Rhinolophus ferrumequinum: one gene and its partner. The main gene of each other region encodes a partner of the protein of the gene in region 2 in a complex. Links are inferred from orthologs where the notes say so. Each region holds a gene or a part of one and is shown on either strand. Other genes may lie near its edges.

Evidence for each region. The genes of interacting proteins can lie anywhere in the genome.
Region 1: the proteins of IL1A (region 2) and S100A13 are in contact, whole or in part, in an NMR structure (PDB 2L5X), measured with the Homo sapiens proteins. The link is inferred for Rhinolophus ferrumequinum from reciprocal best matches to the Homo sapiens genes IL1A and S100A13. Residues at the interface, in NP_000566.3 of Homo sapiens: Asn148, Gln150, Tyr151, Thr194, Ala195, Gln196, Asp197, Leu203, Leu204, Lys205, Glu206, Met207, Gly216, Ser217, Glu218, Thr219, Asn220, His239; in NP_001019381.1 of Homo sapiens: Met1, Arg25, Gln26, Glu27, Gly28, Arg29, Lys30, Asp31, Ser34, Asp68, Ser69, Glu70, Lys72, Phe73.

Annotation. Positions count from the first base shown.
Region 1 is NC_046305.1:52,555,007-52,565,191, forward strand, and holds the start of S100A13 (protein S100-A13), read right to left. Parts: upstream 4,139-10,185; 5' UTR 4,004-4,138; coding exon 3,974-4,003; intron 3,819-3,973; coding exon 3,636-3,818; intron 1-3,635. Other genes in the region: S100A1 (protein S100-A1), read left to right, coding at 8,507-8,647, 9,641-9,784. UniProt on the Homo sapiens protein: Plays a role in the export of proteins that lack a signal peptide and are secreted by an alternative pathway. Binds two calcium ions per subunit. Binds one copper ion. Binding of one copper ion does not interfere with calcium binding.
Region 2 is NW_022680356.1:81,422-91,925, forward strand, and holds the start of IL1A (interleukin-1 alpha), read left to right. Parts: upstream 1-6,514; 5' UTR 6,515-6,589; intron 6,590-7,179; 5' UTR 7,180-7,187; coding exon 7,188-7,234; intron 7,235-8,189; coding exon 8,190-8,238; intron 8,239-9,012; coding exon 9,013-9,235; intron 9,236-10,476; coding exon 10,477-10,504. UniProt on the Homo sapiens protein: Cytokine constitutively present intracellularly in nearly all resting non-hematopoietic cells that plays an important role in inflammation and bridges the innate and adaptive immune systems.

The DNA of each region.
Region 1 (10,185 bases), on a different chromosome or scaffold from region 2:
GCCCAGCAAACATTTATTTACCAAACATTTACTTTTCTAGCTCCATGTTAACTGCTTTCCTTCCCACTGAAGTCCCAAACTGCAACCCCCACTTTCTCTTCAGCTCAAGATGGCACCTGAGCTTTACTGCCCGATTTGTCCTTGGGCCCCATAATCTTATGGAACCCCCCGTATGTACATACGTAACTAAATCTGGTCATTTTTCTCCTGTTAATCTGTCTCATGTCAATGTGATTATTAGAACAACCAAAAGAACTAAGAGAGGGAAATGGGAAATTTTCCCCTCCCAACAACTGTTACATTTTTAAAAAACTATTTATAGAACAGTAGGCAAAATGCATTTATTTATTCATTCTCTCACTCAACAATTTATGCTTTTCTTAAAACTTTTTTACTCTCTCACTCACTCTTCAATATTTTATTGAGCACCTATTAGGAGTCAGACACTGCTCTAAGTAGAGGTAAAAGAGTGATCAGACTCCTTTCCTCACAGGAGTTACATTCTTGGTAACATATACGTATATAGTGGAGGTCAAGTTGTGATTGAGGTGTTCTGAAAGAAAATAAAGTAAGGTAAAGGAATAGAGCACAGGGAGGTGATATTTGTATTCAGTAGTGAAGGCCATGCAAAGGATTTGCCATTTGAGCAAAAAGTTGAGTTACATGAGGAATAAGCCTAGCAAATACCTAGACGAGGGGCAGGGGTGAGCATTCTGGACCCGGAGAGGAAAAGTGGAGACAGTCAGTATAAATAACTCCTATGCTTTTGAGAAGTTTTGCTACAAAAGGGAAGCAGAGATATAAGGCATAGCTGGAGGGAGTTACAGGGTCAAGGGAGTTTTTCTTTTTTTTTCTTTTCTTTTTCTCCTTGTTTTTTTTTTTAAAGATGGGAGATATTACAGCATATTTGGAAACTGACCAGAACAATCCAGTACAAAGGGAAATTTTGATGATGCAAGAGAGGGGGGAAGAACTAAAAGGGTTAAAGTCTTTAAGTAGGTGAGAAGGGATGAGATCCAGGGCACCAGTGAAGGGTATGGCCTTGGGAGCAGACAGGGATGAAAGGCAGGGTATGTGTTGGTGGATCTGGGTGAAGGAGCACATAGAAGCTTCCTGATTACTCTTACTTCCTTCTCAGTGAGAGGGATGTGGAAAGAGGTACTAGAGTTTGAGGAGAAAGGAAAAGTTGTGAAATAATCATCTGAAAGAGCTGGTAAATGAATCGACCAGGGAAATGTAGAATTGGCAGACATCGCTGAGGGGTTTGTGATTATAGATTTAAAGTGCGACAAATGAACACGGCGGTGCCTTATTCTCCAGCCAGATTCAGCTCTAGAAGTGGAGGTACAGAATGGTGCATTCAACCAACAAGTTACTGGAGGTGAAATGTTGGCTTTAAGCTGGGTTGGGATTGTGCCAAAAGACAAGGACAGAAAGAAACAGAATCAAGGGAGTTGTGGGAGTGGTTATAATGAATGATGAGCCTTAGAACCCAGGTAAGTAAGAGGTGAAATGAGAACACAAGACATAAAGATAGAAGATGGAAAAAATAATAGGGAGTCAAGAAAATGCTGGAGTGGAGGAGCTAGAAACAGGTGAGGGAAGCAGAGTTGGCACCCCAAAATATGCCTTTTGGGATGGATATTGAGTACTCTAAGCTGGTTATTTTCAAGAAACGAGACTCAGGAAAAACCTTTGGCCTTCCCTCTACCTGCCTAGAAGAATTTAGACAGAGGACCTGCTTCAGGAAGGGAGCTGTCATCACAGATAACCATAGCTTAATATGAACTAGTGTGTGATAGCGAAAAAATGAGCAAGGCCCATTGGGTAAAAGTCCCCTCTGTGTCCCATGTGAAAGCTGGCCCAGCAGACATTCATTTGCTCTTCCATCTCTGTGGGAACGGCCTTCCTGCCCTTTTAGGTTCCAAACCACTCCCACCACCTTCGCCTTAGCTCCAGAATGGTATGTAAGCCTCAACCGCCCAGTGTCCTTGGGACCCATCTTCTTATGGAACCCCTGTGTGTACATACTTAATAAGTGTGGGTATTTTCTCCTGTCAATCCGTCTCTCGTCAATTTGATTATTATTCCAGCCTGAACTTAGAAAGGTAGGAGGAAAATTCATTTTTACCTTTTCACTCCCCTACAGAGGAACAGAACTGGAATGACATGGAAGACAGAGAAAAGGAAGTTAGAAATTGAGATCTTGGAAGAGGTGCGTTATTTTGGTAATACCAAGATCTGAAGCATGAGCAGAGGAGTGGAATCCTGAGATGCAGGGCGACAATCTTTGGAAGTGATGAGCTCAAGAAATTGAAAGGCCCAGGTGTTGGCTGAGCTGTCTCTGTGGAATGCTGAGGATAATGACAGCAGCAGTGATGAGAAGGAAAACAGTTAGCCAGGAACTGAAGAGCTATAAGGAAGGCAGGTGGTACCTGAGCTTCCAAGGAGCTGGGCATCTTAGGAAGAAGAAAAAAACTAAGATCCGGAAGCAGCACTGAAACGCAGAGGTCACTTCCTGCATTTCAACACACAGAGGAAGATAAACCAGCCACTATATTTTAATATTACTATTAGTTTCAGGTGTACAAAACAATGAAATAGTTAGACATTTGCACCCCTTACAAAGTGATAACCCCCCAATTTACTATCTGTCTGCCATCGTATACAGCTGTTACAATTCCATCGACTATTCCCTCTGCTGTACCCCACATCCCGTGACTATACATACATATATATGTTTAATTATAGTTGACATTCAATATTATTCAAAACCAGTCACTATTTGGCAAGGCTACTGGGAGTGCTGTACCTCCAGGAGAGAGCCTGGCGTTTCCTGTGAGGAGAGGATGGGAAAAGTCAGGGAAGCCTAAGGAGGAGGGGATTTTGCTGATGAAAGACTATGAGTTTCAAAAAAAAAAAAAAAAACTGTGAGTTTCAGAGACACTTGTTTTTTGTTTTTAAACCCATCTTCACACACTTTTATGTGCCTGTGAATTTTCAGGAAGGATGTAAAAGAAACTGTTAGCCGCCTGGGATGATGCCCAACCCAAAGTGGATAAAATTTAAATCCCTACTCCGTCCCCTGAGGAGAGACGGGGGGACCCAGCCAGGCGCATTGAGGGGATTCCCAGAGAGGGTGGGAAGTAACCACGGATCACTTACAGGTCCCTCCCACCCTGAGATCCTGACTCCATAAATGTGGCTCTGTTTTTATTTTTAACAAATCCCTTCCCACAGCGGGGCCTCAGTTTCCTTATGTGTGAAATGAGGAATGTGGATATGTTTTCTCTCGGCCTCCGTCTAGCTCTGACGGTCCGGGAAGCCAGCTCTGGGTCCAGTCCTCTGTGAGGCAAATGAGATCAGAGAGGCACAGCGCAGACACAGGAACCCTGCAGCATTATCTGATGCAGCACAAAGCCCCATAACACTTCCCCTCACACGGACACTGTTACCGAGACGCACACACACACACTTGGCAAGAACGCCCAGAACCACTTACACATGCAGCCACCCACACCTTTCTCCACAACACATCTGTGGTCACATTATCGTGCCCAGCAATATCACGTCACGTACACAATGTCCCACAGCCACTGTCTCCTAAAATCTCGGGCCCAGAGGCCCCCACCTACCTTGAGCAGGTGAGGCAACTGTTGAGTGGCCAGTTCCTTAAACTCATTGATGCTGAGGCTGCCTTTACGGCCCTCCCGTCCTGCAAAGGTGAAGAAGGTGGTGACCACTGTCTCGATGGCCGTCTCCAGCTCAGTCAGTGGCTCTGCTGCCATTAGGGTGGAGCTGATGTCCTCACGGGCTGACTGGTGGGAGGGAGAGGGGAGGAGAGAAAGGGAGACTCAGGACAGGCCAGAGTGCCCCTGCCCTGGGTTGCTATCTCTGGCTTCTGCCTGGAGAAGGCAGAGGCTTTATGGAGAAGGAACAAGCGGACAGGGATGAAGCTTGGGGCAGGGAGTACCTCAGTGCAGGTGACGGAAGGAGTGTTCATTCCAGAAACCCCTTCCTCTCTAGATCTCACAATCTAGGGGTCCTTTTGAAATGCCTATGTCTTAGGGACCCCTCTGTGATGGTCCCTCAGTCTGGAGACCCCTCTGTCCGGGAGGAGGTTTTCAATCTGAGGGTCCCGTTAGGAAGCCTCTCAGTCTCCTGGCCCCTCTGTAGGGTTCAGCCACAGGGCCCTTGCTTGGAATCTCACCGAGCCTCAAAAGGTCAGGAGGTTGTTTGTCTCCAAAGCTTGTTTGTGTGGGGACCTGGGTCTCCACCCGCCTGCTCCTCCCAGGAGAGCAGCCCTGGTCTGGCAAAGGCCCAGCCGTGGTCAAGGCTGGCTCTGTCTGACAGATCCAGCCTCCCGGTGGTCCTTCTCCGCTTCCCTCCCCGCAGGGCCGGTGCTGAGCCCAGGATCCTGCAGACCTCCCGCCCCTGTCTCCCCGAGCCAGGGGTCCTGGTTGGGCCTTGCTGACAGCCGGCACTCGGCACCCAGAAAGGGCTTGGTCCCGGCACACACAGCCCCAGGGGACAGGCTGGAGGAAAGGGACATGCCAACTCATCCTCCGTTTTCTGCCTCCCCCCACCACACCCCCACCTTACTCCCCCGGGGACTGCGGTCTGATCTCCCCAAGCTACTTTCTGAATCCCAGTCTGAGCTGGCTCCAGGGGCGGGACCTGGGAGTCCAGGGAGGAAAAGGGCTCCCCGGGTTCCCCCCAGAATTAGGGGGACACGACTCACCAGGGGAAGTCACAGAGACGGGGTGCAACACGAGGTTGCCGCGGGGCTGAGGTTTATAAGCGCTGGGCGGAGAGGCCAGGGCCCCTCCCAAGCTCGGAGGTTTCAAGTTTCCTGGTTGATTGTGGAGGGAGGAGACGTCCAATCACGCCTGGCGCCCCCCTCCCGCCCAGCTCCCAGCGCCCAGAAACCCGCCTGGGACCCCAGCCCCTCAGCCCAGCCCACAGGTGCCCCCACTTGGTCGGGAGGTGAGGGTGGGGATCTGCCTGAAGCTGCCAGATTCCACTCAGCCAGGGCCGAGGGTCCTATCCCCCCCAATATGGGGAGCCTCTGCCCCACCACACCCCAACATGTAATCAGGAGTGTGTATGTTGGGAGCGGGGGTGGGGGAGCGGGGGTGGGGGGGAGGGGGGCCCTGCGGGAGGTGACTGCAGATTGATTGAAAGAACCAACTGCAGGAGCTCACTCAGGACTGAGAAGCCCAAGCTAAGAAACACCACATCGCTGAACGAGATCTCTCAAAGGACCCTGAAGCCCAAGACCCCTTCAGAGGATCCCAAACCAAGACCCCGCAAATACGGGAATCAGACCGAGACCCCTGTTGACATAGAAATTTCCAAACCTGTAGAGCATTTTTATGAGTTTAACTGAACCAAACTGATGACAATCACCTGGAGGAGGCAAAATCTCAACGGATTGAGAAAATGTTCCCGAGAATGGCTTTTTTGCAGCTGATTTCATACATTAGAATCCAAGGAGGAGACGGAGGGGGTTACATGGAATCCATGGGCAGTAGATTAGGGAGCCGGGAGAAGGCAAAGGGGGCGGGGACCTCTGGGATTGGATAAAAAGTAAAAGGGAGAGACACACAGTTCTTTCACATTGTGGGTGCAGGATAGTTAGTAACATTTACAGCACATGGAGATGGCATGTGTGTGTGTGTGTGGGAAGGACAAGGTAACAGTGAAGGGTTCTATGGTCTGTGCTCTCTGTAGGAGGTTGTGCCCTGGGGGTATGGAAAAGGAGATTACTCTGACATTTTAAAGTAATGTCAGTAACTATGTTATCTTAGATACAAAAAGGAAATAGTCAGGCTCCCTTAAGGTAAAGATTAACCTCTATCAAGAAAGCTACAGGCCTAGGATGGGACTACCTGCCATGACAAGCTTTTAGTTAGGAATTTTGATGTTCCGACCATCCTGTGTGGTTACTCCCTGTCTCTGAGTTTGTACAGCCTGCCATGCAGCCTCCCCTGAGCGTGTCGGGTTCAGTCTGTGGCCCCTTTTTTATCTACCTCCCCATCGAGGGTACCCTGGATTGAAATCCCTCAGTGGGGTCTCACACTGAAACTTCGGAGGGTGACTCCCAAGATCGAATTATTCACGGAGAGCTCCCAGCGGCCTCCAGCCCTCCCTGCCTAGCTGGCCACAACCGGGTACTGCGGGGGTAAGGGGTGTCTCAGTGCCCTTCCCAGGACCTTTCCCACCTCCCTTCCTCCAGGGCCTGCCTGTTGGGGCCCAGCAGTAGGGGGGAGGCAACCGAGGCTGGAGAAGAGGACACAGGGCAGCTTGTTCCAGCCCAGGAGACAGAGGGCGCCTCTGTCCACTCCTGGCCCCTTGCCCCACTGGGTGTCTATCTGTGAAGGGGTGGAGCCAGTGGGGAGGGGGGTCAGCGGGGGAAGGACGGCTGAAGACAGGTCTCCACACACAGCTCTGGGAGCCACATTTGCAGCCTCGTCTGTCTGTCCAGAACCTGCTCCCACCTCAGGCCCAGGCTGACAGTGAGTATGCCACCCCATCCTGCCCTGGCCAGCCTGGGGGAAAAGGGACTTCAGCGGGGCTCCAAGAATCTGGGGACGATGGCATTGTGGTATACTGAGGGTTGGGATGAGTTCGAGTGACAGCAGTATGGGATTTGGGGGAGACAGGGTTTAGAAAGTGGTGAGGGGAGACAAGTGAAGGTCAAAGAGAGATCTAGAAACTCAGAGAATGAGGAAGCCAATGAGGAGCCCAGCCACCAAGCTTCCAGATCAGGCTCTCCTACCACGAAGCCCTCCAGTGCCCTCTCAAGCCTCCCTCAATCTCCCAGGAGCTGGGGAGGGGTCCCAGCGCTTGGCTCACTTCCGGTGGGATAAGCTGGAGAGGACAAATGGAGCAGCTGCTCTGCCTCCCCCACCCAGCCTTGCCAAGAGCTCAGGGCCCAGGGACGTCTGGTAGAGCATGGGCCATGTGACATCAGGAAGAGGGGCACTCGGGTGTGGTACCCACTCCCAACTCTCCCTTTCTCCTCCTCCCCTTTCTTGGCCCAGACCTCCAGACTCCTCTTTTCCTCTTTCTTTCCTCTTTGTTTTCCCACCCGCCCCCTCCCTGCCGAGGTCCTCTCAGGATTGCCCCCACATGAAATGCTTGGCTGCTGGCGAGCTCCAGGCAACCCCCAGGTGCCCGTCCTGGATGGGGCCGGTAACTGAGCCACCAGGCCCCTCCCTCTCAGGCCCCTTATCCCCTCCATCAGCCCCGGCTTGGGTTCCATCTCCCCCATGTCTCTGTGACAACCACGTCTCATGTCCGGAGTTCAGGTGACACTCACAAGGGCCCCATTGAAGAGCTGGGATGTCATCTGATCAGGGCCCATTGTCCAGCCCCTCAGGCCTAGGGAAGGATGGGGACACCTGATCTAAGACACCTGAGCTGCCCCCTGAGGCCGTGGTCGGGCTGAATGTCCCAAGACAGAGAGAAAGAGGCCCCCTGGCTTGGCAGTCCCCTCTCCTCAACAGACCCCTCCATTTTTCTCCCCCTGTCTCCCAGCCCCTTGAACTCAGAGGACCTAATGCACTCGGCCCTTTATCTCCCCCAATACATACCAACCCCGTTCTCCCTGCTGCCACTGTCCCCACTCCAACCAGACTGGGCCTGGAGGGTGGGAGTAGCTACTAGCAGTGACAAGTCCTCATGGGTCTCCTCTTCCCCTCCCTAGAAGCTCTGGCTCCAGGGAAAAGTCTCAGACATTCCTGTCCCTTCCCACCACCACCCCATGGAAGGGCTAACTCTGTGGAAAAGTAAGAGGAACCAAGCTAGAGACATACCCCCGGGAAGTGCCATGCTCAGGAGAGAACAGAGTTGAGGGACCAAAAGATGCCCCATCTGCTGACAGGAAGCTCAGAGGCAATGAGACTTCCTTCCCACGACCCTTGGGCCGCCCACTCAGGCTGCCACCCTCTCCATCAGGCTGACCAAGGGCACCAGACTGACTCCTTGCCAGGAGTGGGCAACAGAGTCAAGTCTGTAGACAGGAGCCCAGCCCACCACCTCCAACCGCAGAGCTTGGCTATGCTAGGCAGGCAAGGTTCAGGGTAAAAATAGAGCCAGAGGAAGCCTGGCTGGGTCCTGTGACCACCCCTGCCTGCCTGCCTGCCTGCCACACCCTCGTCAGTATCTGTGCAGCCAGCCAGGAGACACTGCAGGGTCCACGCAGGCCTCTAGAGCCAGCCCTGCTCCAGCTGTTCCCCCTCCATGCCCCAAACTCTGACTCCCTCTGGCGGGGGTTTGGATGGAGGGACACACAGAACAGGTCTGGACTTAGATCTGTTTGGGTTCCCCTACATTTTAGGGTCCCACTGAGAGGTACATTGTGATGGAGCTCCAATCTCATGGCTATTTGGGCTGTGGGACCAGGACCAGGCCTGAGGGCTCCCTTCACCCCAACCCCAGATATCCTGAGCATGGTCCCCTGCTCACTTCCATGGTGGGGGGTGCATAGGTGAGCTTCGAGATGGGGTCTGAGCTGGAGACGGCGATGGAAACTCTCATCAACGTGTTCCACACCCACTCGGGCAAGGAAGGGGACAAGTATAAGCTGAGCAAGAAGGAGCTGAAAGAGCTGCTGCAGACGGAGCTCTCCGGCTTCCTGGATGTGAGTACAGGGTGGGGGGATTGGGTGGAGCGGGCAAGGGCTGGGGGGCACCGGGGGCCCCTCCCTGCCCTTTCCCCAGCTCACCCCAGCTCAGCCCAACCATCTCCTTCCCGTCCCAGGCTTCTCTCCTGGGTTTTTCCAGGCTCCCCTACTCCTGGTTCAAGCCAAAATGCCCCGAGTTAGTGATCATCTGTCAAGGACCAGGACCTGCGTAGATACAGCCATAACAAGGCTCACAGTCTGGAAAGGGAAGATTGACCCTTGAAAGTAAATTTTGGACACCAGGAAGCACACAGAGCCTTAACAGAGGTGCCAGGAAGGATTCTGGGAGAACATTAACCTGACTGAAGTGGGATGGCTTCTCCACAGAGGCGACACTTGAGCCATAGGTTTCCAATGGAAGATGCTTAGGATGAAAGTAGACATTTTGGGTGGAGGCGTTTGCGTGAATAAAAGCACGGCAGAAAGAAGAGTATGGAGCACACTCAGTAGTTTCGACTGCAGGGAAGGATGCAGAAAAACAGGCTGAAGGAGAAGCCTTCAGCTTCTGAGGTTTTATTAGACCTGGGCTCAAGCTTGGGCGCAGCCACGCTCACTCTAGCTGTGTGACTTTGGACACATTATTTAACCACCAACTGTCTCTTTGTTTCTTCTCTAGAACGGGAATAATGCAACCTACTTCATGCTATTTGTGTTAGAATTAAACGAGACAGTGCTTATAAAGCTCCTAGTGTAGCGCTTGTCCATTGTAGGCGCTCAACATATGATAAATGGGTGTTTCTAACTCTGCCTCGTTGAGGGGCTTACTGTATAGGCAGCAGGAGGCCGCAGTGTTTGTCAGTTTCGAGGAAGGCAGCAGAAGAGTCCCCTAATTAGATGTAGCACTCCCTCTTGCTCAGCTCTGCCTCCTGCTCCCCAATCAATCACCCCCCCCTTGGCTCTAACTGGGCGCCATCCATCTCCATACACCTCCCCGTCCATCTCCCTTCACAGGCCCAGAAGGATGCAGATGCGGTGGATAAGGTGATGAAGGAGCTGGATGAGAACGGAGACGGGGAGGTCGACTTCCAGGAGTACGTGGTGCTGGTGGCTGCCCTCACGGTGGCCTGTAACAACTTCTTCTGGGAGAACAGCTGAGCAGACAGCCCCAGTGGGCAGCGCCCTTCCCCTCTACCCTGCCACCCCTGCCCGTGTACTCTGCTTCCCCCTCACCCCGCGCCCCGCTCCCCACAGTCCCACCCTTGCCTACCCTCCAACAAGGGCGCAAGAGTCGTGGGCCAGGCCTGCAACTCTTTCATTAAAGGCTCCTCTCTCGCCAGTCTGTTGTCCTTCCTTTGGGCTCCGGAACGGGGGTGTGATCCCTCCCCATCTGCCTTATTCGGGGTTGGCTCTTATTTGGAGAGAGGTCAAAGGACCATTACATCTTCCTACTGGAGGAATATTCAAGGCCCGGGAAGGCAGGGGTTCAAGATACCAGCTGCAAGTGCAGGAGACATTAGCTCCGCAGCTGCAAAGCCAGACAAAGAATTTCCCTTCAA
Region 2 (10,504 bases):
GTCACCCCGGCTACCTCCTCCTTTCACAGGTGGGGAACTCCCAGAGGGACGTGGAAACTGTCGTGGGCCCCTCCACTGCTCAGGGTCACAGTCAGATCCGACCGCATCTGCCACAGCGGCCACTGTCACCTCGGTGTGTGCTTTTGTGTTCTCTAACCCTGTGACAGGAATGCTGTATCAGGAGCCGATCCTGCCCAGCAGCCAGGAATTCACACCTAGGAGGACGAGACGGGTGCTCTGGGCACAGACCTGTGCTGCTGCTGAGCACCGCACGCTTCATGAGTCAGCTTCACACCCACTGAGAGCTCGGGTTCCATAGTTACGAAGAATGCTGGAAAACCTGTGACACACCGTAATTGCTATATTTTCAATGTAATTGTCATATGATTTTTATCTGGGAGGTTAACTCAACAGTACCAATTTTATCGCTGGCCTCTTTATTTTCATAGCTAATGGATCTTTCTACGGGGAATCAGAATTTGGCCGAAATGAAAGCATCTTATTAGGTTCTTGATTCTCCTTATTGGAAAATTCATTGAACCGATCATGTGAAAAGGGAATTTGAGGTGAAATGCCTGTCACCTTGGAGTCTGTGACAGAGAAGGGAAGGAAGGATAGGCACACACTGTAGTAGTCAGAACAGGTCATGTTATAGCACAGAAACAAATAAGCCCTGAAATGTCAGTGATGTAACAGTTAGAGGTGGGTTGTCACTGATGCAAAGTCCACCGTACGTAGGTTGTCCTAGTGTCGCCTACTGGCAGCCACGCCATCTGGAACGTGTGCCTTCCAAAGTTGCTGCATCAGAGGACGATGGAGGGGAGGGAGACGCATACCGGGCCTGGATTGCATCAGCCGGGAAGTGGAACACAACGCCGTCGCTTCCTGCTCAGGGTGCACTGGCCAGACCCAGCCGCGCGTCGCTAATTAACTGCAAGGGAAACCAGGGAGTGAAGACACACATTCATCCAGTAACCCCACCAGCGAGCGGATCTACCACAGGCAGGGCCCCCGGATTTCAGGAAAGCAAGTACTGAAACGCTCCAAGTATGTATTTGCAAAGAAACAGATCCATAGGTGCCTTGATAAAAGAAAGACGGGAAGGAAATGCACTGCAATGATAACAGTGAATGCCCCTAGGCACTCAAGTGTTTGTGGGTTTTATTTTCTTCTTTATATTTTTATATTTCCCTAGCAATATTAAATAAATGTTTGAGAATCCAAAAAAATGTAATTTTTTGAATTGAGAAACAAGTTCAGACCAGAAATAATTACGACTCCAATGAGGAAAATGACTCAAAAGGAAAGGGAATTTCTTTAAAACGCACTTCTGATTAGATGAGCACAATTAGCCAGCAAAAACAAAAGTGAGAGATGGGCCCAGACATGCCGCTTACATACAGGAAGCTCTCTGGTGAGATCGGATTTTTACAGCATGTCTGTACAAGACGGAGAGGAGGGCACAGGGCCAGGCCAAGGCAGAGGGGCACAGCCCTAGGAACCACTGCCTCAAGAGACGAAAGGGAATTTAACCAAAACACGCAAATTAGGAAACAAATGAGCTAAGGCAGAGAGGGGATCCACTCCAGGCCACAGCACTCGGATCTCTGCTCTCCGAGGCCCAGAGCACGTGCCCAAAGTGCCTCCAAAGTGAAATGGGCAAAGGCCTTGGTGGGGTCTACATAGGCCCTGCCCACCTGGCTCTCGCCCTCCTCCAGACCTCACCTCCTACCCCTCAGTCCCTCCCTCTCTGGGCGACAGACTCGTGCCCTACGTTCATTAATCTGACCCCACGACCTGTGCTCAGCCTGGATCATTCCCTCTTCCTTCCCCAAGGAAGCCCCCACTCCCAGTTTCAGAGGAGCCCCTCTGTCAGATGCCCTCCCCACTCTCACCTCGGTGTGTGCTTTTTTGTTTTTTAATTTTTTTAGATAATTTTTTTAGTTTCCAATTATAGTTGACATTCAATATTATATTAGTCTCAGGTGTACAGCATAGTGATGTACAACATTTATATAACTTATGAAGTGATCATCCTGCAAAGTCTAGCACCCATCTGACACCATACATACCGTGCTTCCCCGAAAATGAGACCTAACCGGAAAACAAGCCCTAGCATGATTTTTCAGGATGACATCCCCTGCACTTAAGGCCTAAAGCATCTTTTGGAGCAAAACTTAATATGAGACCCGGTCTTATTCAGGGGGAAACACAAACACAGGAGCTATTACAATATTATTGACTGCAGTGCTTGAGCTATCCCCTCCATCCCCATGACGACTGTGTAACTACCAAAGTGTACTTCTGAATCCCTTCCCTTCTTCACCCAGGCCCCCAACACCCCTCCCATCTGGTAACCATCGAATGCTCTTTGTATCTATGAGTTTGTTTCTGTTTTGCTTGTCCGTTTATTTTGTTCTTTATTTCACATATAAGTGAGATCCTATGGCATTTGTCTTTCTCTGTCTGACTTACTTTACTCAGTACAATACCCTCCAGGTCCATCCATGTTGTTGCAAATGGCAAGATTTCATTCTTTTTTTGGGTGAAAACTATTCCATCGTACATACGTACCACCTTTTCTTTATCTATCCATATATTGAGGGGCACTTAGGTTGCCTCCACATCTTGGCCGTTGTAAACAATGCTGCAATGAACATACGGATGCACACATCCCCTCGAAGTAGCATCTGGGTTTCTTCAGATAAATACCCAAAAATGGGATTACTGGGTCCTTCTTTGTCTCTTGTTATGTATAGCCTTTGTTTCAAAGTCTATTTTGTCTGGTGTAACTATTGCTACCCCAGCTTTTTTTTTTTTCAATTCCCTTTTCATGCGATATCTTTTTCCATCCCTTTACTTTCAGTCTGTGTGTGTCTTTCGATCTGAAGTGAGTCTCTTGTAGGCAGCATATGTAAGTGTCTCGTTTTCTTATCCATTCAGCCACCCTATGTTTTTTGACTGGAGCACTTAATCTATTCACATTGAAAGTAATTGTTATAGATATGTCATTATTGCCATTTTTTAATTCATATTTCTTAAGTTTTTTCTTCTTCTTAACGAAGTCCCTTTTATGCTTCTTGCAGTACTGGTTTGGTGGTGATGAATCCTTCAGTGCTTCCTTGTCTGGGAGCAGCACGTGCTTACCTACTTCACTGTCAGCTCCCAGGAGAGTGGGAACCATGGCCAGTTTGGCTCACTGAATGGGCTTTCATGCTCTTTAGCTCCTTTTTTACTTATGGGTGAGAAGCCATGGGAGAGATTATTTCTTCACCTTTTTACTGAAGAGCCAGTGTCTCTAGGAAGGAGGACATTTTGAACTAGAAATCAAGTACAGTGAGTTTTCATTTTTTGGCTCCCATTCTCATATGAGCTCTCCATGGGACCTTAGGACCTTTTTACTTCTCTCTGAGCCAGTGTGCTCTTTTATAAAGTAAGAGTTTAATCTAGATGGCATCTGAGGTGCCTCCTTCTCCAACACAGCATCCTCTGGAAGACTAGCAAGACAAAGACTCTGGCGTCTGAATCCCATTTCGGCCACTTGGTCATCTTGTGCCCTTAGGTAGATGGCTTAATCCCTCCATCCAGACTTCCTCTTCTGTGAAGTGTGGTGAGAATGCTAGCTCACAGATCTGATAGAGGATTAAACAACATGACATACTACCCTGTGTCCCCGAAAATAAGACCGAGCCGGACCATCGGCTCTAATGTGTCTTTTGTAGCAAAAATTAATATAAGACCCGGTATTATATTATATTAGGCTCCTCACCTAACCACCTCAGCATCCTCAGCGGTGAATGGGACAGAAAGCACTTTGTCTCGTCCGAGAAGCGAGGCGTCAGCGACACAGTGCAGGGGACAGCTCTGAACTGTGAAGCCGTTTCCAAGGAAAAGCATCCACAAGGGTCTTTGGACCCAAGACCTCCGTGGTAACAGATTCCACTCACCCACCAGCACACACCTCATTTCGCACATCCACTCACCTGCCAGAACACACCTCATCTCACACATCCAATGCTGTGAATCATGAAAGAAAAATACTGACGCCTAGTAAAATGCCCACCACTGAATAAGTGCACAATCATTTCTTCTGAATGATTTAGGTAAAAATGACTCAAGAAGGGTTTTCGAGGCCTCCTGAGAGTCAACAGGTGGGCGCATGAAGCCACCCAAAGTCCCTGTCGCAGGACAGCCCCAAACCCCTAGGGGCTCCAGTGGAGAGCCACCTGGTCCATTCCTCTCTCCGTTCCCTGGAGAATGGTGGCCTGGTGCTGAGGCTTCCTCACAAGTCCACGTTGGTTCACACTCACAGAATAGTAGGCTCCCCCAAACCAAGCAAGGACCCCTCACCCACATTGCTCTTCCTTTAGAAACCATTTCCGGGTGGACGGGTGGTTCAATTGGTTAGAGCGCGAGCTCTGGGTAACAGGGCTGTCTGTTCGATTCTCACATGGGCCAGCAAGCTGCACCCTCCGCAACTAGAATGAAGTCAATGAGCTGCCACTCAGCTCCCCGGTGGCCAGATGGCTCAGTTGGTTGGAGCGCAGGCTCTCAACCACAAAGTTGCCAGTTCGACTCCCCCTGCAACTAGCAACGGCAACTGGACCTGGAGCTGAGCTGCGCCCTCCACAACTAAGACTGAAAGGACAACAACTTGCCTTGGAAAAGTCCTGGAAGTACACACTGCTCCCCAATGAAGTCCTGTTCCCCTTCCCTCCCGCCCCCCAAAAAACAAAAAAACAAATCCAAAAAAAACTATTTCCAAGAAGGTTACATGAAGGACAAAGTTAGGTAAGACCCCCAGACTCAGTTGTCTGTCTAGAAAAACATTTCAAACTCTCCTTGAAAAATTCCACTACCACACTGGGGAATTCTCTACAGCAGAGATGTGCCAATGGGCGAGATGGGTGTTGCCTCTGGTGGTGGAACCAACGGTATTTTCCCAGATTACCAAAGAGGTGCTACATCTCCTTTTCAGAAGCTAAACATCCTCACAGTTTCAACAGAGGCCTTCACCTGAAATGTCCTCCCTGTTGAAGTCTCAAACCAATAGTTTCATACGACCTATTTTTCCTTCAGTGAAACGAGGTGTTACAGTGATGACGATACAGGTTCCCAAGTGCGGAAGCCATCATTAGTGCTGGTAGTATTTTTGTTTACTTGCACCCCTCTCCATCACACCCCTCGTTCACAATGAGCTCTGCAACTGCTTCTCAGTAATAGTCCTCACAAGACCTCCGGGAGGCAGCATGACCAGCGCTAACACTTCTGTGTTGCCTGAAGGGGAAGCACAGACGTGAAGAGCTGGTTGCCATCACCGTCCATACAGTGATCGCACTGACACCAAGCTCTGCCCCCATCTGGCCCTACGTCCACGATGCCAGCTCTCTCTGTGGCCCTTGTCTTTGATGACTGAAACAGCAGATCTATAACCAGAGGACCTGGGCTGGGCACAGAATCAGAATTGGAGACTTTGTGCCTTGGATAGACCTTAATGACCATCTACCCAAATCCACTGTTTTGCTGGACAGGACCAGAGAAAACACTTTACCCAACTCACACAGGCCATTTACTCCCAGTCCGGTGCGTTTGGGCTTTTCATACCATGTTGCCATGCTTCACCTTTCTTCCTCCACGCTCTTCCATCAGTTTCCGTTGGTTAAAATTTACATGGCTTCAACTCCAACCAAGAAAACTGAAACATTTACATGCTGAGTCTGGTGTTCTACCACCTGACCTGGGCTGGCCTCAGAATGCTGAAAAAGTCTGATGCAGTGTCCTATTTTGAGTCCCTTCCTTTCCCCCCAAACTCTGTCCTTGAAGCTAGCCACTGGCTGCGGCGGGGCTCGGCCCACCCTCCATGAGTCTGCAGCTACCCTCACACACCTGGGGTCTGTCCTGGGGTTCTGGTGGAGGGACACTTAGCTGTAACATGGCCAGGGCAGAGAGCTCTCTCCTAAGCTGTCCCTTTGTAGGAAGTGGGTTGACGGGCTGCAGAGGAGCAAAAGGATGAGAACTTGTGTGGCTGACATCACTTTCCTGTCCTCTAACCTGCCCCGAGCAGGAGGTTGTCCCCACACTGATTGATTTATGCTTCTTCAAGCAAACCCACACCTTAGCTGCCAAGTACCTATCAATTCATACTTAGTTGTGGGGGCCATAAACAAATTAAGCCAAAACTCAAACTACAGCTCCTAAGCTGCTCTCCAACCCTAGTACCCATAGTTCTGATTTTAGCAGTTCTCCTTCCTCTCTCACCATATATTTTTAGAAACTTGTTACATTTCCTGCTTCTCTTCCCTTTCTCTAAAACTGTGTTTATAACTGTTTAGAGCAAAACAATAAATAAATGAACCAAGTCAGAAACTGCAGGAATATCTGCAAATAACATTATCAAGTTTATAATCTGTCATTTGGCCAGTATAAGGTTGAATGAACGTAAAAGAAATGCAAATCAGGATCCTTCCCTGTAAATTCCCATGACGCACCCTGGCCACACCCACTGCACAGAAGACAAAAGGCCCAGGAGCGGAGGCAGCCGCTTCTTCCAGCAGAGCCGACTCACCTCCCGGAACCGGAGTCGGCAAAGGTACTGTCCTGGTCACATTTTGGCTTTTAAAATATTTTTTGTTTCTCTCCTTGACTGTTATCTCTCAAACTGCCTTCTCTGAAGCTAAAGCCTCTTCCCTCCTGGTTCTGTGTGTGAGTTAGAATCACAATCGGATTTCAGAAAATGATCCTTCCTCTTGGTGGGAACTGAGGGACGGGGAACTGCTTCCACAGGTGGCCGGTGGTGCAGCCAAGCCTTCCCTCAGAGGGAACTCCACTTCCAAAAACTGCCGAGAGAAAACTGGAACTTCCCAAGTCTGCCTCTCTCTTGCATCTGAGTGAGGCAAATGCCTCCTTCTTGTGGGGTTTTTGAACTTAGCCAAACTTGACTGAGTGCCTACTGTGTGGGCACTAAGGGATACCAAAATTCTAAAAGAAACGTACAGTCTGCTAGAGGAGGCAGACACCTATGCAAATGGTTCAAGGGAGTGAAAAGAATGGGGAACATGCTGAATGTGGTTATGCCATGAGTTAAGTTGCCCAAGAAGCACAAAGCAGAGGTGGTTCCCCTCATAGGTGTCTGGTTCAGAGGTCATCAAGGCTGACAGCCGCTGGTGTTCTCCGTTGCAGAAGTCAAGATGGCCAAGGTCCCCGACCTCTTTGAAGACCTGAAGAACTGTTACAGGTAGGAAATGGACTGTGATCTGATGAGGGGACCCAGGCTCATTAGAACCCACCCAGCGAGGAGGTGCAGTGACCAGCATGGGGCCAGACCGGCAGACGCTATAGAGATGGTCCCACCTCCAAAGTCAGAGCAGGCTCAGCAAAGGCTTAGGGAAGCCAAGCATCCAGCATGTTAAACGGATGTGACGTTGACAGGAAGACGGCCATTACCAAAAACGTGTTTTTTAAGGCCTGCTGAGTCCTAGCGAATTTCAGCGTCTATTCATACACAGCCTGGGCTGGGTCACATGCTCGGTCTGGTACAGTAAGGGGTTCTAAAGGCCTCTTAGAGAGAGACCACCCTCAGGAAACTCCTTGCTCTCAATCTGGAGAGGAAAATGGCTCCACAGCAATCCGAGCACGCGGGAGCTCATACACACTCAAACCTAGTCAGATGTAAGAGGAACGTAAGTGAATAAAAGGTGTAAATTATAAAACACTTTCAACAACATGTTCTCATTACCTGCTTTACCTGCTAATATGCACTAACACACGCTCGGCCATCCAAGTGTTGTTTGGGTGTTTTGCCAGGTATAAATTACTAAATCCATTTTAGTGAGTACATGAAAGCAATGAGTAATGTAGTCTATTTGGTCAGAATTTAAATAAGGTGCTTCGGCAGAACTTTTCTCTTGAGGAGCTGAAATCCAATTACAACTCCTGTTTGTAAGCCAAGCACTGTTTCTGTTGATAAAGCACAGGTAAAGTTCAAGGCCTGTCCTGAAGGTGACTAATTCCAGGTCAGCGAGGTACAGATTACTCTATGTACGTATGTACAGAAGTCGTTCATTTTCAAAGATGGCAGGAGTGTCCGTGTGTGCACACACGTGTCCCAAAGCTAATGAGGTTATTAAAATACATTGCCTGGTGGCCATTGTGATCTAACAGAATGACATTCTCATCATCTTGTTTGACAGTGAAAATGAAGAATACAGTTGCGAAATTGACCAGCTCGCTCTGAATCAGGTAAGCAAATGGCTGCTTCTTAGGGTGGCTGTTCTGACAGTCATATTTTCTCCACGGGAGGACAGCAGCTATGGCTTCAGTCCCATAGGCCTCTGCTGTGCCATCTCGAGATGTCCGGAGACATGCATGTCTTCATTATAAGTGAGGCAGACAGGGCTGATGGCATTCTCCACACTTGCCGGATTTTCCCAGAATAGAGCACAACTACCCTGCACCCCAAGGACTGGAGTCTCCCTGCTTCATCAGATGCTAGTTTGCCACCCTGAGACAGAGCCTTCGGGCCACTTCTCCAGGGGTCTGTCACCTAAAGATATGTTCTGGTCATCCTCTCCGATGCCAGCTCCAGACATCAGAGACAACCCTCCAACGTAACAGCCCAGGAAGCCGAGGTGGACCAAGCAGGCCACTCACAAGTACTCCTATGTGTCTTTGGTACTGGCTCTAAAAGCCATTCCCAGAGGAGTATTTCTAACATGTCTGAGCCCTGTCCTAAGCCTAACTTCCTAAGGGGGAACTATTGGAGAGTCTCAATGTTAGCCTGTTTCACTGTATCTCATTTTTGAGTCTGCAGATAAATGACAAAGACTGGCCAAGAGATGGTATCCTTCCAGGGAAATGCTAGGAGGGAGGAGGAGGGGATGACTGAAGAAAGGTGGGTAGCCGAGACCCCACTGGCGATCCTTCTCACTATGCCCGTTGAATAAAACTCCCACAAAAGGAGTCTCATCCTATAGCCACAGACAGCCTCTCAGTCTCCACCTCCCTTCCTCACAGAAATCCTTCTACGACGCAAGCTATGACACACTTCATGAGGACTGCATGGGTAAATTTACATCTCTGAGTACCAAGGAGACCTCTAAGACTTCCCAGTTTACCTTCAAGGAGAGCGTGGTGGTGGTGGCAGGCAATGGGAAAGTTCTGAAGAAGAGACGGCTGAGTTTCAACAAGGTCCCCACTGATGACGAGCTGGAAGCTGTTGCCAATGACCCAGAAGAAGGTAAGGGGCCATGTGCCGTGATATCCTTGTTTGCCATTTTTAAGCAAATGGGCACAATAGAGTAGAAGGGCAAATAAAACCTAGAATCAGGGTGACAGGGCAGCCAGGCATTAGTCTAGTAACTATCAGGAAGGAAAATTAATTTCTATGCTGCAATGGGGAGAAAGCAGCCTGGCCTGGGTCTAAGATACTTGCTCACATGCTCATTTCACGGCCATACTGTAAAGGTCATGTGACTTCGAGCCCTTCAGCAGGAAATGGTTACACACTGTTGGCGGGTGACACTGACAAGCCATGTTGCTTCTCATGCTAACTGTGCCTCATTGGGAAAGTTACTGACCTTTCTGTGCTTCAGTTTCCTCTACTGAAAAATGCACACGATCAGAGCCCCCTACCTGTTGTGAAGATTAAATGTGTGAATTCCCGCAAGCTCCTGGACTAAAATAATGCCTGGCATGTAGCAAGTACCCAGTAAACGGCAGCTATCATTGTTGCATGACTACCATTGTTGCTACCACGTGTTAATGGTACCAGCACCACCAGTTTACTAATGGCCGCATTATCTTCACAACAACCACTGCCACCAAGAGCTTAGCAGTGCCCACACGATGGCCCACTCCTCAGTCTTTCCCGCATGTGTAGCACTGTTAGGCTCATATGTACCCAATCTGTGTCTAGCTTTACTCACTTAGCAGCATATTGGGGTCATTAGAGTGCCAGTTTTCAGTACCATAAGCCATGTGACAGAGACCATCCAAACCGATGAACCTTCATTTCTACCACCACATCGTTTCTTACAATGGCCTCCTAGAAGCAGTGATGCAGAGCTGGGGGATGCGTGAGGCTGTGGGTGCCTCCAGCATTCAGAGGGGCGGTGGGCACAGAGACCTGCTCCCTCAGGGACACACACAGTTCCCCACATGTTCGCTTCTTGTCTCAGAGCGCTTTCCTTTCAACGTAGGTAGGGTCAGCAGCAGTCTCCCCAGTTACTTAGAGTCCTCCAAACAACCAAAATGACAAAGTTGCACAAATAATCTCTTTCGGCGTCCAGGTCTAAAGAGAATGTTCCTACGGGAATGACCCTGGAGCTGGCTCTCCTGCTTCTGGGTGACTTCACCTGTTCCCTCACCTGCGTGGCCCATTCCTAATGTTCCTTCCACAGCTACCCCCGTGCTGCCTACAGCACATGTCACCAGCATCAGCCCCCAGACATTAATCTGAGCTTGTGCTAATGGTTGCAGAAATCATCCAGCCCAGATTGGCAGCTCA